Linked DNA regions of Elephas maximus indicus. The protein of the gene in region 4 purifies or fractionates together with the protein of the main gene of each other region. This does not show direct contact. Links are inferred from orthologs where the notes say so. Each region holds a gene or a part of one and is shown on either strand. Other genes may lie near its edges. The genes, in order: CTTNBP2, MAP4K4, STRN3 and ZRANB1.

Region 1 (7,212 bases), on a different chromosome or scaffold from region 4:
TTTAGCTGTTTAACGAAGCTTCAAAAGATTTAATTCCTGGAGCCATCAAATCAGTACCCTTGCAGATCTGTTTGGTTCGACTCTAATAGAGCCTGTCTTTGTGCAAAGAATGTCTTTCACAAAGAGTTAATTTGCAATCTCAACAGAGATTAATTCTCAGGAGGGAATTTAAACTTGGAGTGTCCCAGGGGAGAAGCAGCTTCAAGGTTGGGCTATTCTGTGAGGGAGTTAACTCCTTATGCGCTGCTTCTGAGCAATGAGGCCAGCTGCTCAGTCAACACCCGGCAACAGTGGCAGCTTTAAGGTAGAAACAAATACTGTTTATTCTCCTTCCCAGGTCCTGGATTTTGGCAGTAGGAAAATATGCTATTCTGTGATTTTTTTTCACCTGTTTATTTTTCATTTCACACACACACACACAAAAGGCGGTGGGGTGGGGGAGAGGGGAAAGAATTCACTCAGGGATCTACTTGATTATGACTTGATTGTATTTTGATTGTATTTAGACTTACATTGTTAGGTGCCATCGAGTGGATTTGCCCCACAGAGTTTTCTAGGCTGTAATCTTTAAGGTAGAAGATGGCCAGGGCTTTCCACCTGCAGAGCGCAGAACGGCTGGCTAGTGGGTTGGAACCAAAGACCTTTTTGTTAGCCACCAAGCACTTAACCATTGCACCACCAGAGCTCCTTATTTTGACTAATAAACAAAAAACCAAACCTGTTGTTAGACTCATAGCGACCCTATAGGACAGAGTAGAACTGCCCCAAAGCGTTTCCAAGGAGCAGCTGGTGGATTCAAACTGCAGATCTTTTGGTTAGCAGCTAAGCTCTTAACTACTGGGTCACTGCAGAAGCTATTTATTCACAACATTTTTTTTTTTTTTAAATTGATCTGCATGTATAAAATAAACGGGATTTGCTTCACAGAGAAATTATCATGTCATATTCCTAGTGCTTAAACCTAAGTGAAATTTGTTATTTTATTCCCCAGTGGTGAGCCAGTTAATTTCTTAATTTAATGCCAATATTAAGGAAATTTATTGCCTTGTGATGTGTGAAAATGCATTTTGAAAAGAACAAGGAATACTTTTGTTCCAACTTTAAATTTTACTATCAACATCTAGCTTTTTTTTTTTTTTAACTTATAGGTTTATTTTTCTTACATAACAAGAATTCTAGAACTAAGCGACTTCTGGAGTCCCTTTAGCTGTTCCATGATGCCACAGGCTATATCTGTTTGGCTCCACCATCTTTAACATTGCCTTTTTTTAATCTCCATGTCTGTTGCCTCTGGTTGCAAGTTGGTTACTGCGCATTTAGGCATCACATCCACATTTTAGGCAGGAAGAATGGGAAAGGTGAAGGGTAAAGCCAGCTGCCTCTCCTTTTTATCATATGCAATGATTTTCAACACCAGATTTATCGTATCTTCAATTTACAAATATTCTTGGTTTCATTTCTTGACCATTTATTTAGTTCATCTGAAGCAAATATTAGTTTTAATTATTGTAGCTTTATAATGTATTTTGATGTCTATTTAAAGCAATTCTTTTGTCCTTTTTTGAGTATTTTTAGAATTTTTGAATTGTACTTTAGATGAAGGTTTACAGAGCAGATTCTCATTAAACAATTAATACACATATTGTTTTGTGACATTGGTTGCCAACCCCGTGACATGTCAACACTCTCCCCTTCTCAACTTTGGGTTCCCCATTATCAAGTCTCCTGTCTCCTCCTGCCTTCTCATCCTCGCTCCCGGGTTGGTGTGCCCATTTAGTCTCATTTTATGTGCCTGTCTATCTAAACTTTGGCTGAAGGGTGAGCCTCATGAGTGACTTCATAACTGAGCTATAAGGGTTTCAGGGGGCCATACTTTAGGGGCTTCTCCAGTCTCTGTCAAACCAGTAAGTCTGTTCTTTTTTGTGTGTGTGTGAGTTAGAATTTAGTTCTATGTTTTTCTCCAGTTCTATCAGAGACTATTGTGATCACTGTCAGAGCAGTTGGTGGTGGTAGCTGGGCAACATCTGCTTGTGCTAAACTCAGTCTGGTGGAGGCTATGGTAGTTGTCGTCCATTAGTTCTTCGGACTAATCTTTTCCCTTGTGTCTTTGGTTTTCTTCATTCTCCCTTGCTCCAACAGGAGCATGCTTTTAAGACTCCAGATGCTACTCACCAAAGTAGAACGTAGAACATTTCCTTTGTAAACTATGTTATGCCAATTGAGCTAGATGTTCCCCAAGACCATGGTCCCCACAGCCCTCAGCCCAGCAATTCAGTCCCTCAGGAAGTTTGGATGTGCCCATGGAGCTTCCATGACCTTGCCTCATACAAGCTGTGTTGTGTACTGTCTTACCCTTCTCCAAAGTTAACTACTTATCTATTGTCTATTTGGTGTTTTTCCATCCCCCACTCCTCCCCTCCCCCATAACCATCAAAGATTGTTTCTTTTTGTGTGTAAACCTTATGATTTTTTAGAGTAATGGTCTCAGACAATATTTGTCCTTTTGTAATTGACTTATTTCACTCAGCATAAATGCCCTCCGGATTCACCCATGTTGTGAGATCAGGGTCCAACTTTTATTGTCAAATGCTTTGCTTTCATCTTGTAAGTAGCTTGATTATTCTAATATTGAGTAATTTCAGAGAGAATAGTTGATAAAAGAAAACAGTGTAATGAACGGGAATGGACACTAAAGAACTAAGAAAGGGGGTAGCTGTGAGAGTAAAGTCAAAGAAAATAAATCAACCAGCACCTCTGCTTACAGGATAACTCAGAGGTGACTTCCAGGCCTCTGACCCTTAACCCCAGGATTCCAGGTGAAAGTTCTCTCTTGATGTAGCTGTCTTCTGGGAGAGAACTTTCCACAGTTAACCCATAGACTGATTTTTAAATTAAAGGGAAGCTAGGTAGAAGAATGGTATTTGTCATTATAATTGTTGCTTATCTAATGATTTAAATCAACCCCATTCAGGGTCTTCAAAGGAAAGATTTTCTCTGTCCTGATTTGTGTCTTATTTGGATCCAGTTTTGAAAATGGAGCAATTAAAGTGCCAAAACCTTTCATTAGGAGTCTGCCATTTAAAAAAATGAGCTTTTATCTGTAGCCCTTGAATTGAACATTCCATGTCATTCGTCTTCCTGAATTTCAAGTTTAGGATTTGGTTTTCGCTTCATTTTACGTCCTTGAGACACAGTTTGAATGCTGCGACTTGATTTTGTGCTTTCAAGACAGTTTTAGGGATCTGGTGATTTGAGAAGGGCTGGTACCATATGGTCTTGAGAAGGTGATAGATTTTCACATCCTGGGAACTGGCAGAAAAGGGTAGGAACTGAATCAGATGAAAGGAAGGGAAAATAGAGTTTGAGCCTAAGTCACTCATCTCATGAAAAACCTGAGACCTATAATTCCCATGAAGTCAATTTTTAAAAGGATTTTTTTAGTACGTGTACTTGCGTATTCTTACTTGCGTATTCTCTCTGAAAGTAGAGAGCTTCCTTTTAAAAGAGATGACATTTAACACTTCTTGGTTAGTCCTTTAGAAAAGACTTCAGTCATGGAGTCAAAGAACAGCAATGGGCCCCGCGCCACCCTCCCTGAAAAGGAGATTTTACAGAAAGATGAGAACTGAGGGACTGGGGCACAATGTAATAAAAGCGGACACATTATTCATTTTGATTTGTGAATTTAGTTAATGGTTTTCGTAGAAGGAAGGGGTAAAAGCACCCTGGCAGCAGTGTTGAAAAACCAAAAAACCTGGAATTTAAGAAAAAAGAAAAGAGTATCTTATGTCCTTCCTAGCGGTGGGATAGATGGGCATGGAGCGAAGGGTTTCCTTGATCTTACAGAAAATTAAGATTTAGGAAGCCCGACATTTCATCCGGTCTCTCCAGGGTCGGCTTCGTGGGGCTTGGCCGGTCGTATCACATCTTGAGCTCTTTCTCTCCTTCATCTCGCCCGGTGTCTTTCGGATTCCCCCATCTGCGGGAAGGACCAGCCCCGGGCCCGGGCTTGTGCCCTCTTCTCGGACCTCGACGCACCGGATGGCCCAGGGGCTGGGCGAGGCGGCGGGCGGCGCGGCCCCCCGGGGGCGGGCGCCCGGGCGCGCGGGCCCCGGCGCGCAGCGGGTTAAGGCGGCGGGGGCGGCGGGAGGGAGGCGGAGCGCGGCCGGGCCCGAACGCCGCGCCGCCGGCCAGCAGCGGGTTAAGTGCCGCCCGCGCGGAGAGGGCTGAGCCGGGCGCCGCCGCTTCGAGCTCGCATTCGGATCCGCTAGCGCAGGAAGATGGCGACGGACGGCGCGAGCTGCGAACCCGACTTCTCCCGCGCCTCGGAGGACGCGGCGGAGGCTACGGCGGAGGCTACGGCGGAGGCAGCGGTAACCGAGTTCCCGGTGCGGGCGCGCTGCGAGTGTAGACGCGGGCCCAGGCGCAGCTCCAAGTCCCCTGGGCGCTCCGCAGTCCGGGCCCCCTGGGGGCGCCCCCTCCTCAAGCTGCCCCACGGCCGGAGGCCGCCCAAGCTGGGGACGCCTCCTGCCCGTTCCGAGTCTCCAGGGAAATAGCACCGGCCTCCGGGTTCTTGGCGCTCCATGCGTGCGCCCCGCCCTCCTCGCGACCCCGACGCCGGTGCCGCGGTGGTCGGGTTTGGCCTGGGGGTGTTTGCTGGCGAACTTGACCCCCCATTGTTCGCCTCTAGCTGCACGCGTGGCTGTGAGCGTGCGTCTCGGGGTGCCTGGCACGTCTCAGCAGACCTAGGAAACAGCGAGGGGGGGTGCGGGTCGCCGCCGAGCAGGTGTGGGGATGCCTATTGTGTGTCTGTGCGCCTTTGGGGGGCCCCTGGGGAGGGACCGGTGCCCAGCTGTGGGCGCTGTCGCCGCGAAGCGCCGGCGACTTTGGTCTTAGCAGCCCCCTCACTGGGGAGGCGGGGGGTCATCGCGTTCTTCCGAGGCGATGCCCGGGCGAGGTGGAGGGTCATCACCGAGTATCATAGACATTGTTCTCCTTCGCTGGGTTCTAGACGCCAAATGCGCTACCATCCATCCCTGGTCCCCACTTTCAATCCCTAAATATTCCTGTGCACAGAAACTCGCTGGTGGGTTCCAGCCCCTACCTGGGGGAGGGTTGGTTCCCCGTCCAGGGTGGAAAATGTGCTCAGGGTTTGAGAAGCGGCTTCGCTGGAGCTGCGAGGATCTGCAAAGAAAGGCGGTCCCGGGAGCGCCTCCCACCCTTGGCCCACTCCCGCTGGAGACCGCGGTGGGATAGAGTGAGCCGAGGGTGGACGCCCCCTCCGGCCTTGCCACTACCCGATCGGAGTCGGTGCGCGAGCAGCAGAGGGCAGGGCCAGGCGTAAACAGCCAGGGCTGCTTTAACTTCCTCCTCCTCCCTGGGTTTGGAGGTAGGGCTTTTGGAGAGGGAGAGATGGGGAGGAAGGTACTTGGGGGTGAGAGGAGCTGAGCTTGGGAAGGAATAGAGAAAGAGGGGGTGGAGGGGGGAGAAAAACGGAGGAGGAGGGCTGTTGATTTGCACTTGTGAAACTGGCAAGTTTTGATTTGCAGCTTTTAGGAAAATTTATTTTGTTTTTTCATTTCTTGCGTGGAAAATGAGAACTTAAGATTTCAAGTGAAACCTGCCCACTTGTGATACTGTGAATCCCCCCGCCCCCCGCGAGGTACAATAAGGAAGCTAGCTGTTAAGGCAAGCCTCTCTGGGAAGTTTAAATGATTGGGTGTCTTCCTCCCCAGGAGATGATGACGAGAGGCACTGACTGGGAGGAGAAAGAAAGAGGTCTTGTGTGTGTTTCTTGTTCCCCAGGAAGGTTACATTTGTATGTTTAATTTGTTTAGAATGGGCCTTTTTTCTACTGCCCTCAGTGTTTTAATCACCTCCTTACAATTAAACCAAACACAAACATCTGGTTTATGGTCTGTAGCTGATGATGTAGTTTTATTTGGTTAGACTGTAGAGAGTCTTGGTCGTGGGGCAGATTTCGTGTTAACAAGGTCAGGGTTCCGTCTCTGCTGTGTAAAATTTTCAGAAGTCTGATTCTCACTACTGAACTTCGGGGATTTGATCATTCACCTGTGATAATGGGAACAGCCATGGAAAATAGGAAAGCCGACCTCTTGTTATTTCCACAGAATCCTTTAGGGTCCCAAGATGCAATAAGGATTCTTAATATAGTAGCTTTTTTAAACTTTTGGCTGTTTAGTAAAATTTTGACAGTGACTTCTTAGGCTGTAAACTGACCATTTTATTTTTTCCAAAAAGCTTTGACTTCGTAAGGTAGGATCCTGTCCTATCAGCCACTTTGACCTATAGGCTGATTTTTACATTAAAGAAAAGCTGGGTAGAGGCATGGTATTTGTTATTATAACTGCTCCTTACCTAATGATTAAAAATCAAAGGCATTTTTATGCATCTTGGGGTTTTGGCAACTGATGGCTTAAAACAATTTTTGGGTATTTTTAGTGAACAATTCTTTTTTTTGGTATTTTAGCGATTTGATTCATTTCAAATCTGCTTGTATATTCATTTTTATATATACATTTGGCAATAACGAGCCAATGGAACCTCCAAAGCAGTAGGCTATTTTTGAAAGTGAGTGTTTTCACTAAGTTTTGACTATTTAGATTGTTGCTTAGAAACAAGTTTAATTTATAGTTTCATAGTTTTCAGTTTAATATGATTTTTAGTGACATGTTTTAAATTTAGTTTGTGGTCCTCGTTCTTAGCTGTTTAAATCCTGAAGGCATCCCAAGTGTAAAGCTACATTATTCAGTAGGCTCATATAAATAGTCTTTGCTATGAACCATGCTGGGAGACCTGGGTTATTTTCAGTGCCTTAGCCAAATGTGATGACTTTTATAGGCCATATTGCTATTTCTACTCTGAAAATAAGCCCTAATGGATAAGGCAGTATGGAAAACAGAAATCTTCCTGCTTTTTATTGTCATCAGGGAATTTTGGAGTGAAAGGAAAATGGAGGTCTTTTTAGAGCTGTGTTTGGGAAGCCAACCAACATTCTTGCCATTCTGGGTTTTCTGGGGCAGTTAATATGCAAAAAGTAGGAATAAATTTTGTCACGGTGATTGTGACAAGGAAAAACTTGGACAGTGATTTTTGTTAAAAATATGCAACAGCGATGTTAAAATAACAGCTGGCACTTTGAAATTTTTGTTTTCCAGGTGACAGTATTAAATGTAAATGCAGTAAAAAAAC
Region 2 (7,882 bases), on a different chromosome or scaffold from region 4:
ATCAACTCGACAGCAGTGGGTTTGGTTTTTCAGTAGTGACAATTAAGAAAACATTCATGAGATAATCAGGACAATGTGAACACTGGATATCTGACATTAAGGAATTAATTTTTTAGGTGGGATAATGGCTTTGTGAGTAGGTTAAAAAAAAAAAAAGAGAGAGAGAGAGACATACTGAAGAATTTATGGATGAAATGACAAGCTAGCTGGGATTTCCGTAAGGTAACGGCAGAAAGAGGAATACAGATGCAACTACGTTAGTTACGCGCTGACAACTGTTAAGTTGGGTGCTTTATTCCACTTGAGTATGTCTGAAAATTTCCATCGTAATAATAAAAAATGTAACTGCTTGTGACCAAAATCCTAAGCGATATTTTGTTCTGGATTGTATGCCACTATTGCACAGATTTCTTAATTCCTTACGCTTGCATATTCAGAAAAATTTCTCCTCCACTGTACAGACTTCGTAGTCAGAAAGCAGGCTGTGTCATTATGGATATCCCAACACTTCCCAATGTCATGGTAGGCATTTCTACTTCAAAAGCTTTTGCATGGTTGGGGGGGGGGGTGTGCAAAGGGGAAATAAGGAGGGGAGAAAACAATGTCCTTGTCCAAACTGTTACCAGACAGGGCTTCCACCTCTTACAACCAGTTAACACTTGGATTCATTTCTTTTTTCCTTATAATTTAAAAGCTGACTAACGCCTTCAGCTTACTCTGCTGCACTCAGCACAGACACTGACCGAGTAAGACACAAACAATCCCACCACTATATAACCAGGTCAAAAACAAGCTCTGGCCACCTCACTCGGAGGAGCGCACTCACCACTTAGATTTGGCCAGAAAAACTGGGTTAGAAAAAACTGGCTGCTGCTTACACAAACACTGGGGCTCCGGAGAATGTCTTTAAAAGCCAGTTACCAAGCCACTCAGCGAGTTGCAACACAATCTCATCCAAAATTTTCCAAACACTTCCAAATTCAGTTGAGCCCAGCAGCCTGAGTTAACAGGGCTCCCTTTCAAATTCAAAAATCTGGCCCCGGCCCCAACAGTTAACCAACAAAACACATGCTAATTTCACTTGCGATCACCTAGAAATACTGCCTCAAGTTCAGACCCCAGGCCTGTACACTGCCCAGGCCAGGCTAAGCTGGGGTAGGGGAGGGGCGTTCAAAGGACAGGCAAACTCTCTCAATAAAGCAGTAAGACACAATAGGATCCACACTTAACCTGGCCTAAGAAAACATCTATGGGCAGCCTCCAAGTATCCCAGCGCCTCTCCGCTTTGTGAATGAGACAATGACAACTCTCCATGGTGAAAACAGAAACCCTTGCTTCCTAAGGCATTTTCTAACCCTACTCTGCACCCACTCCAACAGCTAGAAAACTACTCCAATACAGATGACTTTTAGAACATCTTAAGAAACAAAACAGGGCAGGAAGAATCTATTGTTTTTTTTCTATTTCCAAGGCCTTGCCCATCCATTACCTGCAGCTCTTCATAACCTTTAGTATGCACACTGGATAAAATGAGAACACTGTTAGTCACACAGGTGTCAGCTACTCATCGCAGATTTATACAGTCTCCAGATTTGTTCACTGCATTTACCGGCGGCGGGGGGGGGGGGGGGGGGGGCGGCAAAAAAGAGAAAAACCTGGAATGGGTGTGAAACCAGGCATCCTCCTTACCCCTTGCTCTCCCTCTTCCCATTGCACACCTGTCAAACAGGTTATTCCTGGAATTCCGATTTTATAATCTTCACACTGTAATTCTTCCTGCTCCTGTTGCCCAAACGCACACCCCTCCCTTCCCCAAAATACGTATCCATCAGTAGCGTGGACCACAGACGAGAGTTACAAAGGCGTCCCAGTTAGCACCAAACTCCCCACCTTGAGCACCTGGCCAGCGCTCAAACGAGGAAACATGATGACCATTCTCGAGAAGGCCAAGGCACTGATTTAAGAATCATGAGCAAGGCCGGCCTTTTGTGAGTTTTAATTAACAAACACATTCAGAAGGCCGGGTTTGGGAAGAAAAAAAAAACTTAAGGTCGCTTTATGAAAAACGTTTTTCCACTTTCTCACAAAAGTGCTTGCCTAAGGGTGTAGTTTATTTCTTTCTGTCAAAGCCAGGAAACGAGGTCTTTTAAGGCTAATCGGGATGTGGCTGGGGCGGTTGTTGGGTGCCGGCGAGTCCATTTTCGACTCATAGCGACCTCCTGTGACAGAATACAATCTGAATATAAACTGCTTAAAAACAGAGACGCTGCCAAGCGAAAGCCCTTTCCGAACTTCGGCCAAGTGGCGTGGCCTCCAGTCAGAGCGTGTTTATCGCCCTTTTCCTCGTCTCCCAACGCGAAGTTTCAGCACGCCACGGGAAACAAAGAAGGCGCCCCACACCGACCTTATAGACTTGTCCATAGGTGCCATTTCCGACCACTTCCACCAGCTCAAAAATCCCAGCGGGATCCTGGAGAGGAAGGAGGGGAGGGGTTACAATTGAAAAGAAACAAAAAGGAATAAAGGACGCTGGCCCGCTGCGGAGAGGGCGGCTGCGCCCGCGCCGGTCCCCTCGCCCCGCGCCCCGGTCCCCGCGCCCAGGGCCGCGCCTCCGGCAGCGGGCGCGGGCGGCACCGGGCGCATTGGCGGCGCCCCGCGTCCCCGCACATGCCGACACAGGCAGACAAAGGAGCCGCCGCGCCCGCGGCTCTGCCCGCGGCGGCGCCCGAGCGCCCGGCCGGCCCGGGGCGCGGCCCCCGCCCCGCCGCCCCGCCGCCCCGCCGCCCCGCCGCGGCCACTCACCCGCAGCGAGGAGAGGTCGATGTCCACCAGACTTTTTGCAGGGGAGTCGTTCGCCATTTTCCCTTTTTTGCCTCCCAAATAGAACAGCTATCTGTGTCTGCGTGCCGTCGGCCGAGGCCGGGGCGCCACGGCGCCTGCTCGCACGGGGAGCGGGCGGCCGGGACGCCTCTTCGCCGGCCGGGGGCGGGCAGGCGGGCGGCGGCGCGGGCTCGGCCCCGCTCGCGGCTCTCGCCGGCCCCGGGCCGCGCGCCGAGGAGCGGACGGAGCGTGCGCGGGGCGGCGGCGGCGCTCACACCATGGCGCGCCAGCGGCCCGGGCGTCGCCGCGCTCAGGCCCCGCAGCCCGCGCCGCGCGCCGCGCGCATCCAGGCCGCCGCCGTACGGAACGTGGGCCGCGGCGGCGCCGAGAGTGGAGCAGGCAGCGCGAGGCCGAGACAAAGATAAGCCGGGGGGCGGGGGCGGGGGCGGGGCGGGGGCGGGGAGGGGGGGAGGGAGGGAGGGAGGAGGCGGCGGCGGCCGCGCGGGAGGAGGGGAAACGGGACACCGAAAATATATTCGGAGCGGAGCGCAAACAGCTCCCCCTCTCCTTCCCCGGCAGGAAAAACGGGCGGAAGCGCACTCGCACCCTGAGACCTGCTGGCGGAGGCGCGGGGCGCGCCGCCCGCCGCCCGGCGCGTGAATATTCAGCAGGGGTGGGGCCGGAACAATGGCCGGGCCGCCGGCCCAGACCCGGTAGCCGGCGCCCGGGTGGGGCCTCCGAGCCCGACCCCCTCGGTGCCCTCCAAAACGGCCAGAGCCGGGGGGTCGGGAGCGCAGGGATGAAAGGGGCCGTGCTGTCCCCAGGAAGGTGCTAAGAGTAAGGAAACGCCCCTACCTCGCACAAACAATAAATCAAAGAAACAAACTCGGACCCAGACGCCGAGAGGCAGACGAACCCGCCGTCTCTCAGGGAGAGGGTGTGTCCCGCCCTGCTGGGCCGGCCGCGCCCCGGATCGAAGGGGACGCGAGAGGGGATGTATCCAAGCGGAAGAGGGTCCTCTCTTTCTCCTCACCCGCTTTTCTTCCCTGCTGCCTCCAGCACCACTTAGGATACCTTTGAGACCCTCATTTCCGGTTTCCCTACATGGTTTTCTCTTCCTTTATTTTCTGTTCCAGGATAAGTGTGTGACAGGGTTGTAGCTGCGGGATTAGGCGAGCATCACTTGGCTGCCCGGCCCCAAGAGACTCAGTAGCCGAATCCACAACAGCTCTTGTAATGGCCTGGTGCCGCGCCCCTTACTTCGCCCCGTGGGTGAGCACTGTGTTTGGGGCCATAAATACTAAGCCATGTTTTGAGCCTACACATCACTACGATCAACAAATGGGCTTCCTCTTGCAACCTGGATACTAGTCAGTAGTTACGGAGTTTCATCAACCGAGAATATAAGATCTCTCTCTGGGTGGAGTAAGTGGCTTGGGATTGGCTGCTAACCTAAAGGTTGGGGGCTGGAACCCACCCAGTGCCTGCGTGGAAGAAAGGCCTGTTTGGGTGTATGTGTTCAAGGGCCATCTTCATTGCCTCCCTCCACTGTCCAGAATTTTTCAGTTGTTCCCTGTTAACTTACAGCAGGTGTTGTCAAACTTGAGAGGGCGTCAGCACCAGCCGGGGTGGGGGGTGTAAAAGCATGGATTGCAGGGCGGTACCTCAACTTGGATTCTGTAGGTCTGAGGTAAGCCATTGCTGTCTGGTCCATTCCGACTCGTAGCGACCCTCTAGGACAGAGTAGAACTGCCACATAGGTCTGAGGAGAGCCCCAGGAATTTACCTTTGTAACAGGTTCTCAGGAGCCCTGGTGACGCAGCGGCTAAGCCTTCAGTGGCTTGCCAAAAGGTCTGCAGTTGGAACCCACCCATTGCTCCTTGGAAACCCTATGGGGCAGTTCTGCTCTGTCCTGTAGGGTGGCTGTGAGTCCGAATTGACTAGACCACAGCGGTTTGTTGTTGTTGTTGTGTTGTGTTGCTGTTTTTGAACAGGTTCTGGAATGACGGTTGTTTTGCTGTCACAGTGATCACACTTTGCGAATAGCTGCCTCACAGGATGAATATCTGAGGCCCTTCATAACAGGGCTTCACAAACAGCACCATGATTATCTAGTATCTACCAGTTCTTAGGCGCTTGCTGTGCCCCTGATAATGTTTACTGATTTACATACAGTACCCAATTTAATAAGGAACCCTGGTGACGCAATGGTTAAGAATTCAACTGCTATCTAAAAGGTTGGCAGTTCAAACCCGCCCAGCAGCCCCTCAGGAGAAAGACCTGGTGATTTGCTCTGGTAAGAACTATAGCCTAAAAGACCTCACGGCACAGTTCTACTCCGTCACATGGGGTCTCTCTGCAAACCAACTCCATGGCACCTACCAAGTGGCTCTTCAAACTCACCTAGAAGTGACGCCAAAGAAAGGCTTGGTGATCTGCTTCCAGAAGGTCACAGACTTGAAAACCCTATGGAGTGCAGTTCTGCTCTGCAACACGTGGGGTCGCCATGAGTCAGAATGGACGGCAACAGGTTTGGTTTTTTTGGCTTTATTATTGATGACAGATAGCATGTATTGGATATGCTAAATCCTTTACATGTATTATCCCATTGTTCTTCACAGTAACTCCAAGTGGTAGGTACTGTTGGTTTTCCTGATTTGCCCATTAGGAAATCAAGGTCTGAAGACAAACTTGCTCTATGTGCAGAGTTGGACCCTAGACAATAACACGAGGCCCTCCCAGGCCATCCTCCCGCCACAGGTTTATAGCCACATTTCATTGAGGCTCACCATAGACCAACCCCTTCCTCCCTGCCTATCCAAATACCCTCCGTCACCTCAAGCCCAACTCAGAAACTGCAGCTTTGTATATCACCATTGTGCATTATTTCCCACTTTCAGTTCAGTACCTATTCTTGAAGCACCTACTAAGTGGAAGGAACTGGCTTAGCCATGGCCCGGTATATAAGGAAGATTAAGATAGCCTACCCGCAAAGATCTTACAGTCTGAAAATTGGCATAAGACAGTTTCATAAAGAGCTGTCATAAAAGAACATTGTAAATTCTGGCAACATGGAAAGGACACTAAACAGGTCTAATGAGAAGTATGCTGGATTTGGGGCAAAACCAAAATGGGTTTCAACCCTAGTTCTTGGACATGTTGCTTAATTTCTGACCCTCTGTTTCCTCTTCTATATACTGGATGAAGACTGGAGGTAAAAAGGCCAGTTAGGGGCCATTGCAGGCTCCCAGGCCCAGGTAATAAAGCCTGGTGACAGGAAATACAAGACTCTCTAAACTTTGGCATCTGACAGGATAGTCAGAAGACAGTGTAGACAGGAGGTAAAAGATTTTTTGTGTGTGGTTTCAAGCCTTGTTCACACTTGGGAGGAGGCTATTAGTACAGAGGAAAGAGAATTGCCACATGGCGGTGGCAAAGGAATGTCAGGTTTGGTTTTGGACCCGTTTTAAAGCTAGTTAATTTTTATCTGCCCAGCTCCCAACGCCACTCAGTTCTCTAAAAGTAGGAGCCATGTTTTCAGTCAACAGCCATGTTCAATACATGCTTCCAGGAAGTTGGCTTGATTCATGGCCTTACCCTCAAGGGTCTATTTGAAGACATGGTGCCTTGGTGGTGCAGTGGCTAAGAGATAGGCTGCTAACCAAAAGGTCGGCAGTTCGAATCCACCAGCCACTCATTGAAAATCCTATGGGGACAGTTCTATTCTGTCCTGTAGGGTCCCTATGAGTCGGAATTAACTCGACAGCAACGGGCTTTATTTTCAGATTGAATCTATTTATGTGAGTGTCATGGATTGAATGATGTCACCCCAAAAAAAGGTGTGTATCAACTTTGTTAGGCCATGATTCCCAGTATTGTGTGGTTGTTCTCCATTTTGTGACTGTAGGTTTATGTTGAGAGGGTTAGGGTGGGATTGTAACACTGCCCTTACTTAGGCCACATCCTTGATCCAATGTAAAGGGAGTTTCCCTGGGATGTGGCCTGTACCACCTTTTCTCTCTCAAGAAATGAAAGGAAAGGGAAGCAAGCAGAGAGTTGGGGACCTCATACCACCAAGGAAGCAGCACTAGGAGCAGAGCACGTCCTTTGGTCCTGGGGTCCCTGCTCCTGAGAAGCTTCTCGACCAGGGGAAGATCGAGGACAAGGACCTTCTTCCAGAGCCGGCAGAGAGAGAAAGCCTTCCCCTGGAGCTGACGCCTTGAATTTGGATTTGTAGCCTACTTTACTGTGAGGAAATAAACTTCTCTTTATTAAAGCCATCCACTTGTGGTATTTCTGTTATAGCAGCACTAGATGACTAAGGCGGTGAGACTCTAATGTGTAAATAATAAATTAAGCCTTGAGCTCCCAGGGTCAGAGTTGGGTAGTAAATATTTCCCAAAATAAAACCAGTTGCCATTGAATCGACTCCAACTTCTTCTTGCCTACTTTGGACACATCATCAGGAAAGACAGATCACTAGGAAAAGACTTCGTGCTTGGTAAAGTAGAGGGCCAGGGAAAGAGGGAAACCTTCCATCCGATGGGCAGACACAAAAGTCACAGCAGTGGCCTCAAACATACCAGCGATTGTAAGTATGGTGCAGGACCGGGCGATGTTTTGTTCTGTTCTATATGAGGTCACTGTCTTAGTCATCTAGTGCTTCAGTAACAGAAATACCACAAGTGGATAGCTTCAACAAAGAGAAATTTATTCCCTCACAGTCTAGTAGGCTAAAAGTCCAAATTCAGGATATCAGCTCCAGGGGAAGGCTTTCTCTGTCGGCTCTGGAGGAAGGTCCTTGTCATCAATCTTCTCCTGGACTAGGAGCTTCTCCTTGCGGGAACCCTGGATCCAAAGGACACGCTCTGCTCCCGGCACAGCTTTCTTGGTAGTATGAGGTCCCCACTCTCTGCTTGCTTCCCTTTCCTTTTATCTCTTGTAAGATAAAAGATGGTGCAGGCCACACTTCAGGGAAACTCCCTTTAGGGATGTGACCTTAGTAAGGGTGTTACAATCCAACCCTAATCTTCTTTAACGTAAAATTACAAGCACGAAATGG
Region 3 (7,560 bases), on a different chromosome or scaffold from region 4:
TGGGTTTGTTTACAATTAAAATCCACTGATGCTTCACTTAAACCCTCTCATAAACTTTTCATCCAACATATGTATTTTTAAATATGGATCTCACAAACAATCTTAAGGCATCTAAAGCAAATTCAATATACTAGAAACACACCTGAAACCCTGTTAAGTAATCCAGCAAAACATTTTAGGGAAATATATAGCACAAGAACAGATAAACACAATCATGAACATTTTATTCCAAATGAATCTGTGAAATAATAAAAACCCTTGAAAAAAATTTACAGTCTGTAAATACTGTAAAACTTCTTCAAAACAAATAAACAAAACTTAAGATGGCTATATCAGAACTAAAGTACTAATAGTAGGTTAACTGAAAGAAATCCAGGAAGAATTCAAGCAACAGAAATCTCCCTTAAAGGATTTTTGTTTTTGCTGTTAAGGAAAGAAGTGGAAGGGCTACAGCAGATAGTAAAGGATTCACTATTTTATTAATTTAGACATACAAGTAAGATATTTTCCCAGCTACTTACATTAACAAAGATTATGAGTGACTAATACAATTGCGAACTTGGAAATTGTTAAAATCCAAACGTGCATACAACAACGCAAAAGTTACAAACACTGCATCAGGGACCGGTCAAGTGTTATTCAGTGACCAGATGCCTCAATGCGTTTGTAAGTACAACTTATAAATTTTTAAAAATGGTTTATAAACCTCACTCTATCCACAGAGAAAACTAAATTTGTTTAAAGCATGGTGTAGTAGAAATTTTCATACTAAGAGCGCTCTATAAATCACAAGTATTTTAAAGGAGACTATAAAGAAAACCATTGCCGTCAAGTCAATTCCAACTCATAGCGACCCTATAGGACAGAAAAGAACTACCCCCATAGAGTTTCCAAGGAGCACTGGGTGGATTCGAACTGCCAACATTTTGGTTAGCAGCCAAAGCACTTAACCACTACACCACCAGGGTTTACTCAAGTTAAAAGAAACAATAAATAATTCTGACTTAAGCTCTTTGAAAGTTAAAAGCCCGATAGTTTATCAAAACACAATTCTAAAACACTGAACTAACAGGTGTTAGTCTGTAATGAATTTGTTCAAGATATGATAAAAAAGTGTCAAAACATATTACTATTCTTACTTTTTTAAAAAAAATTAACTTTATCCACTTTGAGGAGTCAAATAAAAAGTTTACAAGTTCAAAATCAAACTGAAGAGATTCATATCTGAGACACTCTTTAAAAGTTATTCCAATCTTCCATCTTTCAACACCATGTTTTCCTAACTCTTCATCGTGGGCATATATGGCATATATGTCAGTAAACAACACTGCTTACATCCTAAATATATACCAGTTTGAAGAACAGGTGCAGCACTATTTAGGTGGAAACTTTTTTCTTCTAAGCCTACTTTTGCCTGAAAAGGAATTTAAAAACAAACACAAATATCCCAAAAAGTTGAACAATCCTTTCAAAAAGATGGAGTAATTTTTAAATCCAAGACACGAGCCCTGAAGCTACCAACCCTTTCCAAAAGTTAGGTTAACACACCCTAGTGCATCCAAAGGCTCACCTTAAGAGGAATGAGTCTGGCTCAATTATGAGGGTAATGGGTTCTGAGGACATTTAACTGTGCTTCCCTGAGGTGAGTTAGTAATATAAGTACTTTTTACTTCAAGCTAATACTAAATCTTTTCTCGGCCTTTCATAAATACAGCACAGATAGTTTGGTGTGGCTTTTTTTTATGGGTAAAGGGGAGGTGTCTGGTTAAGGGCACTCTAAAAAGAAAAATTCAGTTTTGAGAATAGTAAGCGTTGATGAGTCACTAAGTAAGGAAGAACTACAAAAGATCCAACTCAGTCATGCAACGTCCCAGGTAATAAGGCACTTACAGTTGACAGGTATGAAATTAAAACTTCACAGGTAAGCCTCAAGCCATTGTGTACGGTAGCAGCCCAGAAAAAAAGCGTGGCTGTCAAGGGTCAAGTGCGTACCAAGTCGGGGGAGGGGGTCAGACAAGCCAAATCGGAAGGGGGTGTCCTGAAAAAGGTGGTAAAATGCCCTTCTCAGTCCCCTTCCTCGGGTTCTCCACCTCAAGAGAGACAAGTGAGAGCAACACAGTGCCCAGCAGCCCCACGCCGAACTCTTAAGAGTATCTGGGCTCCAAGCCCCGGAGGCCCGGGAAGGCCGCCTCCGGAGGGGCCCCCGCAGACGCCATACTAAAAGCCAAAATGGCTGCCCCGAGGAAGCCCGCACCGCGCAGCCACTGAGGGCTGGGGAGCAAGCTTCTGCGGGAAAGAGGGAGGGGGACTCAGGAGGAGCTGTCGCCAGAACCGTCGCCCCCGAGCCGCACAGGTAGGTTCCTCTCGGCTTCCCGAGGCCGCAGGCTCCGGCTGAGAGGAGTCCCGGCCCCACCCCCGGGCCGAGATCCCCGCCGCCGCAGCTGCCCCGCACACTGTCCCCAACGAGGTACCTGCAGTTCGGCCCGCTCCACCTCCCAGTGCGCCCGCTCCATCTCGAACCGAGCCCACTCGTGCTGGATGTAGTGCAGTATCCCCGGAATAGTGTACTGCTGCGGCCGGGACAGCTCAGGGCCTGCCGCGGGGCCCGCTCCCTCGGCGGTCGGAGGACCCCCGCCGCCCGCCGCTCCATTCCCCCCCGGCGAAAGGTTCATGTTCCCCCCAGGTCCCTGCTGCTGCCGGGGAAGTGCCGCCATCCCCGGGCCGCCACCACCGCCTCCAGCGAGCTCGTCCATTGTGTGTGGGGCCCCGGCCGGGGCGCAGGGCGAAACGCCGACAGCTGGGGGAAGGGCCGGGGAGGGTAGCCCCGCGCTGGTGACGGGGCGGAGGCCGGCCAGGAGAGGGGCGGGGAGGGGGTCGTTGCAGTGTGCTTGCCGTGGGTCAGAGCAAGGAGCTGCCGGCCGCCGCCATTACAGTCCCACCTCCATCTGCCAGTCTCAGTCACTCACATTAGGGGAGGGGGGGCCGTGGCGGGAGGGGGAAGAGAGGGCAGGGCTGGGAAGAGGGTAGACGTAGGGCCGTCGCTCCCGCGTTGCATGCCGGGTAGAGTACGCCGCTGCCGCCTCACTCCAAATAGCCAAATAGAGTCCGGCCTCACCCTACGCAGGCGCTCTGGGAGCTCATTGAGCTTCGCAGTTAGGGGGCGGGGAAGGGGCTCGGGACCCGCCTCTAGGCCCGCCCCCAGCCCCTCTCCGGATGTCCGGGTCCCGACGCCGAGGCGAGGACTTCGGTGTTTGAGAGCCGGTCGGCCCGGGTGCTTGAGGTTATCAGTTTCCCTGGAGCGGGCAGCCTTCCAGTGTCGTTCCCCACCCAAGGGTCTGGGCCGCGTGGTCTGCTTCGGATCTCTGCTTTAACCGGGCCGGTCGCGGTGGCCGGCCGACCGCAGCCCGTCCCGGATTCCTGACGTTTCTTTTGCATTCCTTGCGTGTTTCTGGCAGTCCCAGAGGATCGGGCCTTTTTCTCTACTTGTCACTCGCTGTTTCTATGGTTTCTTAGCAGCGGTCAGTTCCCCGAGCTTTGGGGACGCATTCTTTTCGCAAAGAGCCTAGGTCGTTACGGACGTAGTGACTGGACTCCCCGTCTTCGCCTCGAGCCCGAGCTTTTATTGTCCCACTTTTGTGCGCCCGGTCGCTCGTCGCAGTTTGTTCCACTTTGCCTTCCCTGTTCTTTCGTAGGGAGTTGTGTTTTGGGGGCTTGGGAGGGGGGTGGAAAGATTATTTTTGTTTTTATTTTTCTTAAGGGGAGGCACTGAAATCCTTTAGATCTTGATGGTGGGTGGAAGGAAGAAGATAACTTTGAAGGAGACTGGTTAGTCTTTTAACAATTTGACGTTTTTGAAGTAAATAAGTTCCTTCTTATAAATATTGCTATTAATGACAGAATATTTCAATCCGAATAGAAAATAAAGGCATCATGAATACAACTTAAAATCCTAGATGAAAGGGGAAAATGTTTTCCCAAGGCCACTAAATATTTGAGAGAATATACACATAAAAGGCAAGATTTGTTTTTTACCACCGTAGTGTGTATTTTTATGCACTTAGTTTCCCAAGGAACATGAACTAGTGAGTTTTTAAAAACATGTAGCTAATAACCATTTGGTTGCAAAATAGAAGAAAGTTAACATTTAACAACTGTAATAAGGAAAAGGCGTTCCATAACTACAGCTATGCGGGAAATCTTCATCTGAAATTGGTTGCATTTTTTAGACTTTTTCCTCTCTACAAGGCAATAAAATTTTCACTATGGAGTATATACACTTCACTCAGGATTTAATTTCCAAGAGATAAAGTAGTACAGTTTATTTTAGCATGACTGCTTTACTGTTCTTACAGTTTAATGGAGAGTTGATTGGACTTGTTCACCAGGCTGCCATGTTATTTTTATATATGAAATGAGGTCTTAGATCACAGCACTGTTAAAAACTATTTCCCTGTATTATTAAAGTACTATTTCTCCATTTTATAGCGACCAGCATAAACTTGCTTATTCAATCCTATTATTTGGGGGGGGGGGGGTGCCTCATAGCACATAAAAAGTTAAGAAATACTATGCTGCTTCAAGACCTATACACACTAAGAAACTTTTGTGAGAGGGTGTGGTTGACTTCCAAGATGTTAGCGTCAAAGAAAAGGAGCATACACACTTATATTTCCTATAAAAAAAGAAAAGCACCTCAAACTCAGCAGTGGTAGAATTTTTACCTTCTATGCTGAGTTCGATGCTTGGCCAATACACCTCAAGTGCAGCCACCACCCATCTTGTCAGTGGAGGCATTTGTGTTGCTATGGTACTGAACAGGTTTCAGTGGAGCTTCCAGACTAAGGCAGACTAGGAAAAAAGGCCTGGTGATCTACTTCCAGAAAATCAGCCAATGAAAACTGTATATCACGAGGGTGCATAGATTTTCCATGAGTTGGGGGCCAACTCAATAGCTAACAACAACCTCAAGCTCAAAGACTGAACCTATAATTCCTCTTTTCTTCTCCCCACCCTCAAAAACAAAACCAAAGTCTCTGCTCCTCTTCTATTTCTTAGCTTCATATGTGGCTCTGCATCCAAGTCTGAAGCCTAAAAGCCGTTCCTTTGCCTTTCTTTCATTCAGCCCCCACATCTAATCCCTTTCTCAGCAATACCTTTCGTTCTATTCCATTGTCTCCATTCACACCTTAATTTAAATCTTCCAACTTCCACAGTTGCTCCACCAACCGCTACTGCTGCTGAGTGATCTTCCTAGAAGGTAAATATAATCCTGTCATTCCCCTACTTAAAATATTTTAGTGACCACCAAAGCTTTTAGGATAAATTTTAGTTTAGCGTATAGAGGTTCTTCAGATTCTAAATCCTCCCTAGATTCCAATCTACCATCATTTCATCAACCTACTCTATCTCACTCTTCTCTCCAGCCAACTTTTACAGTTTTTGGTTCCTCAAAGGTATAATGCTGCTTCATTCCACAGTGATTTAACACATGATGTGCCTTATTGCCTTTCTTTCCCTTCTTCCTTTAAAACTCAGCTCAAGCGGTACTTCCTCCAAGACACCTTGCAGATCCGTGAATTACAGTCTAGTTGATGGCATTGATGTTTTGGGATCCTAATAGCATCCCATGGTTACCTCTTATCTTAATATTTATTACACTTTATGTAAATTATCAGAGTCCCTGGGTGGTGTAAATGGTTACCATTAAGGTGCTCAGCTGCTAACTGAAGGGTTGGTGGTTTGAGTCCACTCAGAGGCACCTCAGAAGAAAGACCTGGTGATCACCTGAAAAATCACCTGAAAACCCTATGGAGCTCAGTTCTCCACTCAAGGCAACTGTTTTTTTATTTAAATCATCAATGTACTTGTCAGTGGCACTCATGCCAAACTCTTTGAAAGCACGACCTAGCACGTAGTGGGTGCTCAATAAATCTTTGCTTCACTATGAAAAAGCTATTTGATTGGCTACATTTTTCAGATACTCTCTTAGTTCCTGGTGATCCACTGTGAACCAAAAAGACAAACTTTAACCATGGTTTTATAAATGTCAACAATACAATCCCTGGCCATGTGGTTCCCAGACGGTAGGGTCCTCAGCCATTGATCGGCAAGATTGCAGAATTCTCAAGGGCAGTGCCCATGCGTCCCTTGTTCACAGCTCCCAGTGCCTGGTACAGTGTACATCCTCAAGAAATGTTTGATGGATAAACTAAATTTAGACTAGACTAATATGAACATTTTCCCTTCACCTTGTTCATTTTTATTAGCTTTTGCTACAGTTACATCAGCTATATCTTATTGTTCAGTGACTGGAACTTTCCTGAGTATTTAAAAGCAAAGGACACCAAGGTTTTCTCCTCTGGAGAAAATTTTATAGAGATAGCTGGAACACTCTGCTGTGAGCTCCTACAATCTTGTTCTTTTGGCAGTGAGCACTCCCGGGTCACATTGTCACCTACAACTCACCTAACTGGAACTCCCTCCCTAAACTGTGTCTGAGTCATTTCCTCTTTTCAGCCTCACCATTGAAACTTGTTTGTTCTGTCCTTTCATCAGTCCTTATTCATCCCTCTTCTATTCCCATTAGACTCTCCCAGTTTCAGCCTACAGCTAATGATCTTCAAGAATGCCTGCCATAGCTTTCATCAGTTTAGACTTTAAAGGGTTTTTTTTCCTTAGACACCTGTCTGCTTATTCTATTTTTGACTAAAAAACAGATTTGTCATATTTCATATACATATATTAGCAAAGGTATGTTAAGGAATTCCAGGCTTTTAAATAAGTAGTTAACACTCAGACGCTTTCTTACCAATTATTCCAGTACCTGATGTAAAGAGTTTTGAGCCTGCTTCTGGAAACTGTATAGCTCCCTGTAAGTACTCACCTGTATACCCAGTTTTTGTACCTTGCTGGCATCCTTCTACCAAAGACTTTAAACTGGTTTATAAACATTAATCTATTCATCTTTTTGCATAATCTGCAAGGGTTATGATAAGTATTCTTATCTCCTTGGGGTGAAGGAAAAGCTGAGATAAGAGTTCTCAGTCACTTCAGCAAACCCTTAATAGAATAGGAAACTGTTCCCATTCTTAGATCAGTGAGTATGTATGTGTATTTGGAAATAAAGACACTCTCCCTTCACTATTCTGCCTCCTACTGTCCCATCAATGGGCTCATTATTACTGTCTCATATTCCCAAATCATTTGCACATTTGGAATCATTTTTAGGTAGTTTCAGGCTGTTGTAGTGTTTGTGAACATAGTCAAAGAGCAAACAAATAGTAGAACCCAGAGGAAGATCTTTGAGAAGAGTTGGCAAGAGAGTCAAGTGTATAATGCAGATGGAACAGAAAAGGAGGAGGCAGCTTGGACTTGCACCATGGTTTGTTAATGTGCCAGATACGATCAAATATCCAGTTCTCATTAAAGTGATTGCCTATGGCTAAGAAAATTGTAGAAATACATGCAGGGAACTTGAGCCATTCAAATAATATATTATGTAGAAAACAAAAGGACCTTCACAGATTATAGAAACACAGACACCAAAGCATTTAGGAAATT
Region 4 (6,900 bases):
CTCATCTGCCTTATGATCAATGACACATGCTGCCAACATCCGAAGTTAAGGATCCAAACTGAAGCTACAGGTGATTTCTCCTTCATGTGATGCTAAACGTTACCTATATACAAGTAGGAAATGGTCCCCCTTGCTGTCACTGGTGCCGATCTCAAATGAACCCAAGTAACTGCCCCAGACTCAAATCCGAAGTAAACCACAGAATTACGGTACTTATTTTTATTTAAATAAGATGAGATCATTATCAAAATGCTGACCATCCTCTACAGGCTGGGAACCATGTTGGCAATAGGCATAAACATGCTAATCAAGTATTTTGTTTTTTCAAAGACAGCCATAATTTCAAATATTTTTGTCTCAGAAATTGTCACAGTCCCAGAAACTCCAATACTTGGAGGAGTACAAAGTCTATATCCTAGAATACCACTATAACCATCACCGGTCACTGTCAGAGCACGAGTCCAAATTGTCAGAGCTGAATATATGCTCCCCATACACACAAGGCACAGGGCTCAAACCCATTTCTCAAGTCTTAAAAGTCCAATTGGGAAGCAGAATAAAAACAATAAAAGCAACTGAAATCCAGGCTAGCAGTGCTAGGACAAGAAGGAAGAAAACCATCCTGCACAACAGAGGAGGGAACAGTAGATCCCTTGGGGTTGAAGTAGTTAAAAAGGCTCCTCAAGAGACAGGCCCTACCTGGGCTCAGAGTACAGAGAGTATCCATGAATACAAGAGGAAGACGATTCCAAACAGACAGAACAGCATAAAGAAAAGCTGAGGGGAGAGACTTCACAGGAAAAACAAACCAAGGATCCACCAAGGGGAGAAATGGCATTAAGACTGAAGCACTGATCAGGGCTAGATTCTGGAGGATCTTGACCATGCCGGGGAAACTGAGCTTTATTTTCCATGTAATAAGGAGTTTTCTGGAAGTCTTTATACCGTGATGTGAGGAGGGGACAATATTAAAATGTGCAAGACACTATTTTATGCGAAGAATAAGTGGAGCACAAATATTCCTAATAAAACATCACATCAATGGAAAAAAGTGTTCTAGGCCAGGTACAAAAGGATATTATTGGGGTGGGGGTGGGTGTGAGCAGCAATGCTTAAATAGTAAAAGTGACCCAAGAAGTTAAATAAAAAATTATGGTGGTCTACAACTCTTGTTTATTTACATTTATTATAAAAGTAGTATAAGTATAAAGCACCTGGAGAAGCTCTCACTCTATCAATTACGCACATGAAGCAACTTACCTCAAACGTTGTACCACTGGACCCTGAGTTCCAAAGCTCTGTTAACCCTCAGACTTTAAACGGGCTGTGCCAGAACCCCATCAGTGTACAGGTCTGGATCAAGGCCGTGAGCTTAACACATATTATATCATGAATGAGTTCTTCATACTAACCCGAGTTCATTTCAAGAGTAAATAAACGGGTGTCCCAATACTCTAAGGCTGTAATAAAAGGTGCTCAAACATGAGCAACAGAAATAAAAATCTTTCATGACATTCAAATGACAGCCTTCCCAAAAGATGAAAATGTGTCATTACCGTCTTACTAGTTTTAGCCCCCTCCTAATAGCCCAATAAAAACAACGTGATGCACTTTTATAGTAAGAAGGAAACTGCACACCTTGTCATAAGACCCAAAAATCAACAGGGGAGCAGAGTTCTAAATGTGTTCAGAACTACCTAATTTAATTAAAAATAACAACCAAGAAGAGAGATCCAGTTTTATTTTTCACAAACACATCTTAGATGACGTGCTCTCAGCCCTTGGCGCAAGCCAAGATCAAAATTCCTTATGGTTTTCCCTGGCTTATGGGTTACTCACTGAGTCATCTATGTTTGATCAAAACAGAGGTACCTCGAGGTTGCACGAGTGATTAGGACACCGTCTAAAAAAGGGAGACCTACAAGTACCAGAAGCACTCCTTACGGAGTATTTCCGGAAGTTAAAGGTGTCTCTTCAGCTGTGGCTCTAAAACAACATTTTTGTACATCAGATTTATAATGACAATACCGTGGATCATACGGTGAACAAACAGACCAAAATACTGGGGAGAGCAGCCTTTAACCTGAAAGTCTGCAGACTTATGGACAAAGGGAGTGAGACTGAAACTCAAAATTCTCAGCAAGAGTTAAGAAAACATCAGTGAACCTCAAAGATAGTGGGCCAGTTCCAACTTCCAGGTTTAACCTAAACTGCCAGTCCCTTGTACTTAGTGCAAGTATTCATTACAGTCCTTTTGTCTATGAAATGACCCACGCAAGCCCCACAGAAAACAACAGCTACTTGCACCGAACGAGAGTTACCGAGAGCGAGGCGGGCAGATCATCTGTCCACAGTTCCAGCTCTTTCTCCTCTCCCCCAACCTTTGCCCCCCGACCTTGATTTCTTAGACAGAAATGGCAACAACTGGGGCCACCGCAGGAGACAGAGAGGAAGCGGCCAAGAGACTGAAATCCAAGTTTGGAGGCCAGCACCAACTTGTGGCGATGAACCCAAGTATTTATGGCCTATTGCAGAGCGGGAGCGAAACCCCATCACAGACTCGGATCAGGCAGGAAGAGAAGTTGGGGGAAAATCCGGCGGAAGACGGTGGCAGGGCCGGCAACGCGTCCAGCTGCGGCTGATCGATCGTTGGTAAACAAGCGGGCCCGCCCTCCCGGAGCCCCCGACCTCTCCTCGCCCCGGGAAAGCCCAAAAGATGGAAGCCCGGCCGGCGGCAGACCCGGGCCCGACGGGGTTTGCGCGGCAGGCCCCCGCTCCCCGCCGTCGCCTGCAACGCCGCCGCCCCGGGGGGCGCCGGGCGGGCGGGCGGGCGGGCGGCCGAGAGACCCCGCGGCCTGGGCCCACCTGGGAGCGGGAGGCCGGTCAGGCCGCGGGGGCCTGCGGCGGGGCGCCCCTCCTGGGCCCGGTTACCTGGTGGCGGCGGCGGCTCCTCCTCCAGCTCCTGCTCCTCCTCCCTGTCCGACGCTCGGCGCCCGGTGGCGGCGGCGACTCCCCGAGCCGCCCGCGGCGACGAGCGGAGCCCGGCCCCTCTCCGCCTCCCTCCGTGCCGCCGCCCGCCCCGCTGCTGCCGCCTCCGCCCTCTCCCCTCAGTCAGGACATGGTCTCCGCGGGCGGCGCGCGGCTCCGGGCTGCCGGAGGCGGGGGGAGAGGGGCGGAGAGGAGGCGCGCAGGCGGGGGGGCGCCGGGGGGAGGGGGGAGAGAGGGGGGGGCGGCCACGGGCGCTGCGGGCTCTTAATGGCGGCGACAGAGGGGACCCGGAGCCAAATAAACCCCGCGGCGAGCGGCAGACGTCAGGGCCGACCCCGCCGCTTGCCGCCCTGCCATTGGCCCGAGGCCGCCGGCGACGCAGCCAATGGGAGGCCGCCTCTTTCCGGACGCAGAAGGAGGGCCGCAGAGGCGTGACATCACGCCGGCGCCGGGCCCGGATTGTGAGGCTGCGGCGCGCGCCCCCACATCGCGGCCCCTGGGCGGCAACCGCGGAGATGAGGGTAGCGCGCGCTGGCCGAGGTGGAGGACGCCCCGCGGAGGCAAACGGAGACCGACGGCGCCTCACAGCACCTTGTGGGGCGGGCGTCTCGAGGCGCACTTGTCTTTCTTCGAACTCTTCCCCTTCTCTTCTGCAAACAAATTCACCAAACTTTTACCGCCCAAGTCTCACGTCTCCTGAGGAACTTTCTGTTCTGCTTAACCTCTTCATATGCAGTTTCTCGATAAGACACCACAGAAGACAAACGTTTTGGTTGTTTGTGATAGTGTAATTTTTATATATCTAATTTGTACATATTTTGTGTATATGTATTTATCTCCATATACACCTATATTACATATATACATAAATATATGAGGAAAAGCTATGGAGACCCTGGGTTCTCGCTCTCCTCCGCCATATGCTGGTCCTAATGTTGGGTAAATACAACTTTCTCATGGCTGCCTTTTCTGTAAATTGGAGATATTCCTTAAGGCCGAGGATAAATGACAGCCATGGAAAAAATACTGCCCTGAGAGTCCCCAAAGCCCAGATTCTAAATAGAATATATTATATGGCGATATATTTTGTATATTTCTTTTTTACCGTAAAAATAGTCTAAATGAGTCAGCTATCTGTTAAAATTCCATGAGTCAATTTTTTTCTAGCCAGAGAGCTTAGTTTTTCCCATTGAGGTGTCACCTTTCATTTCTCATACTTCAAATTTTATTTCTATGAAGAATTCGGAAGCCCATAAAACACAGGAACTCTTTAAGAGTTGTAAATCTCTTTCAAGTTATCTGATGAAGAAAAGCTATAGCACTTTCAAAGGGCATTTAGCAGTCACATTTGGACACCTCAGCTTCACTAGGAGACAGTGTTATTCAGCATTTACTCAGATTTTTAAAAATTAGATGGGGATTTATCGAGTAAAATTATCCCTGGTGTTCTGAGTTTCTCTTTGCATAGATATGTTAAAGGATGTATGTACAGCTTCACTATGGCAATTAAGAACCCTTTATAGCTTCCTCTCACCAACATTTCATAACCATTGGTATATTTTATCTTCACAGCCATTCCTGTGACAGATTTTCCATAATCCTCTTCATCGTGGTCAAATCTGAAGTACATAACAGCAAAATACTTTGCTTAATGGCTCTTCAATACATTGAGTTTGAACTACAACAATCTCGTCTGTTGTAAAACTTAACCCACATTCTTGAATATGTAACTAACAATTAGATATAAAATCACTAAGTCATTATGCAAGAAGAATGGTTCAACCAATATTTCATCACAATGCTTCAACCAATATTTCACTTGAAAATATCTCCATTGAGGGCCTCTGAGTACCTCCAGTTCCCGCTTCTTGAATCAAGGATAAAGAGCATCTACCTCCAAGTTAATAAGTAGACACGTCACCAAATTAGGTGTTTGTTCTTGTTTAGTTTGAATTGTAGTTTACCTAGCATAATAAGTACCTACCATGTGCCAAGGAACAGGAAGCCCACAAAGATGAGTAAGACACGTTCTGTGTTTGAGGAAACAGACATAGGAAAGAAGACAAAAACAACCATAGTTATCATTATATAAGGCAGAATGTGCAAAGCACCATGTAAATTCAAATGAAAATTATCATGTAACTGAGAGGAAGAGCAAATACAAAAAATGGCTCTAATAAAGAAGGTGGTATTTTATGAATTGTTCAAGCTGAAAAGACTCTTAATATCAGTCCAGTGGTTCTCAGCCTTGGCTACACATCAGAATACCTTGAGGAGTTTCTTAAAAATACGAATGTTGGGGCCCAACACCAGACCTATTGAAACCGTCTCTAAGAGGAGGGACTGGACATGGGTATGTTTTACGTACCATGTGGCTACAATGTACAGCCAGAATTGAGAACTACTTATGTTGTCCTACTCGCCCACCACCCTCCATGTATTGCAGATGTGCAAAGTAGTGCCTAAATTAAGAGAGTTGTCAAAAGCCAGACCAACTACGTATGGAATTAGAACCCAGAGTTCTTGATTCCCCAATCAAATGTTCTTCCCATAACACCATATCTGTTAAAAAGATGTGAACAAATACAGCATTTGTGGATTGAATTGTGTCCCCCAAAAATGTAGGTCAACTTGGCTAGGCCATGATTCCCAGTGTTGTGTGATGGTCCACCATTTTGTGATCTGATGTGGTTATCCCATGTGTTGTAAATCCTAACCTCTACGATATTAATGAGGCAGGATTAGAGGCAGTTATGTTAACGAGGCAAGACTTAATCTACAAGATTAGGTTGTATCTTGAGTCAACCTCTTTTGAGATATAAAAGAATCAAGCAGAGAGGAGAGGGACCACATTACCACCAACCAAGAAGCGCTGAGAGTAGAGTGCGTCTCGTCTCATTTGGACCCAGGGTCCCTGTGCTGAGAAGCTCCTACACCAGGGGAAGATCGATGACAAGGACCTATCCCCAGAACTGACAGAGAGAGAAAGCCTTCCCTGGGAGTTAGTGCCCTGAATTCTGACTTCTAGCCGCCTAAACTGAGGAAATAAACTTCTGTTTGTTAAAGCCATCCACTTGTGCTATTTCTGTTAGAGCAGCGCTTCATATCTAACACAACAGCAGATAGCATTGTCATAGTTAAGGAACTGATCCTGCTGTTTCTCATAGAGATTGAACCACCTTTCTCAATGAGTTATAAAAAAAATTCATTTGGAAAAACATATCCAGTTTTTAAGTCTTTTTCTGAGAACCTCTACCGAAGTGTAGGGACAGTATAATTTTGTTGACATTTAGTTCTGTCTTTTATTTCAGCTGTTTCCCAAACTACCTTTAGAAGATACCATTATACTTTACATTTTCTGACTGACTGCGAATACTTCAATGCAAAATTGTGGATCTGTACTTAATTCCATTAATAGAAATGGAAACACCAATATTAGAGCTATATCTTAATCTGGAATGTCTGTGGGACAAAAGAGGGTAAAAACAGAATAGGGAAATAGAGAAACCAATTAGGAGACAAGGACCTAAGCCAAAGTAGCTGTGGGGATGGGAAGGAAGGGACAGAGGTGAAAGAGTGTGGATGTTCAAGGCTTGCCAGTACCTGAATTGGGGCCAGAAGAAAGAATCAAAAGTCAGAGACCTCTGAATGTGAACGGTGCCATTAACAGTGGGAAACATGAAGAGAAAGAGGAACTAGATAGGAGATGCTGTCTACTGGATCAGGTATGTGGAGATCCTGGCCCATCACTCAGAGGGAAATGTGCAGCAGGCAGGGGAAATGCTGGCCTGAAATGTGATGGCTAAAGCTGGAGATAAACATCAGGGAGTTAGCTATGCACAAGTTACCACTTAAGCCAGGAGTAGGAAAGGAAAAGAAGAACTATCCAAGGAGAAAAAAAGAGTAGTACAA

What was found.
Region 1: the proteins of ZRANB1 (region 4) and CTTNBP2 purify together in Homo sapiens (affinity purification with mass spectrometry; 3 studies listed by BioGRID and IntAct, with this or other methods). This does not show direct contact. The link is inferred for Elephas maximus indicus from reciprocal best matches to the Homo sapiens genes ZRANB1 and CTTNBP2.
Region 2: the proteins of ZRANB1 (region 4) and MAP4K4 purify together in Homo sapiens (affinity purification with mass spectrometry; 3 studies listed by BioGRID and IntAct, with this or other methods). This does not show direct contact. The link is inferred for Elephas maximus indicus from reciprocal best matches to the Homo sapiens genes ZRANB1 and MAP4K4.
Region 3: the proteins of ZRANB1 (region 4) and STRN3 purify together in Homo sapiens (affinity purification with mass spectrometry; 4 studies listed by BioGRID and IntAct, with this or other methods). This does not show direct contact. The link is inferred for Elephas maximus indicus from reciprocal best matches to the Homo sapiens genes ZRANB1 and STRN3.

Annotation. Positions count from the first base shown.
Region 1 is NC_064826.1:31,757,636-31,764,847, forward strand, and holds the start of CTTNBP2 (cortactin-binding protein 2), read left to right. Parts: upstream 1-4,192; 5' UTR 4,193-4,280; coding exon 4,281-4,388; intron 4,389-7,212. UniProt on the Homo sapiens protein: Regulates the dendritic spine distribution of CTTN/cortactin in hippocampal neurons, and thus controls dendritic spinogenesis and dendritic spine maintenance.
Region 2 is NC_064835.1:84,134,894-84,142,775, forward strand, and holds the start of MAP4K4 (mitogen-activated protein kinase kinase kinase kinase 4), read right to left. Parts: upstream 3,019-7,882; 5' UTR 2,860-3,018; coding exon 2,803-2,859; intron 2,471-2,802; coding exon 2,405-2,470; intron 1-2,404.
Region 3 is NC_064828.1:43,486,227-43,493,786, forward strand, and holds the start of STRN3 (striatin-3), read right to left. Parts: upstream 3,008-7,560; 5' UTR 2,754-3,007; coding exon 2,472-2,753; intron 2,354-2,471; exon of another isoform or gene 2,046-2,353; intron 1-2,045. UniProt on the Homo sapiens protein: Calmodulin-binding scaffolding protein which is the center of the striatin-interacting phosphatase and kinase (STRIPAK) complexes.
Region 4 is NC_064834.1:74,981,805-74,988,704, reverse strand, and holds the start of ZRANB1 (ubiquitin thioesterase ZRANB1), read right to left. Parts: upstream 3,016-6,900; 5' UTR 2,932-3,015; intron 1-2,931. UniProt on the Homo sapiens protein: Ubiquitin thioesterase, which specifically hydrolyzes 'Lys-29'-linked and 'Lys-33'-linked diubiquitin. Also cleaves 'Lys-63'-linked chains, but with 40-fold less efficiency compared to 'Lys-29'-linked ones.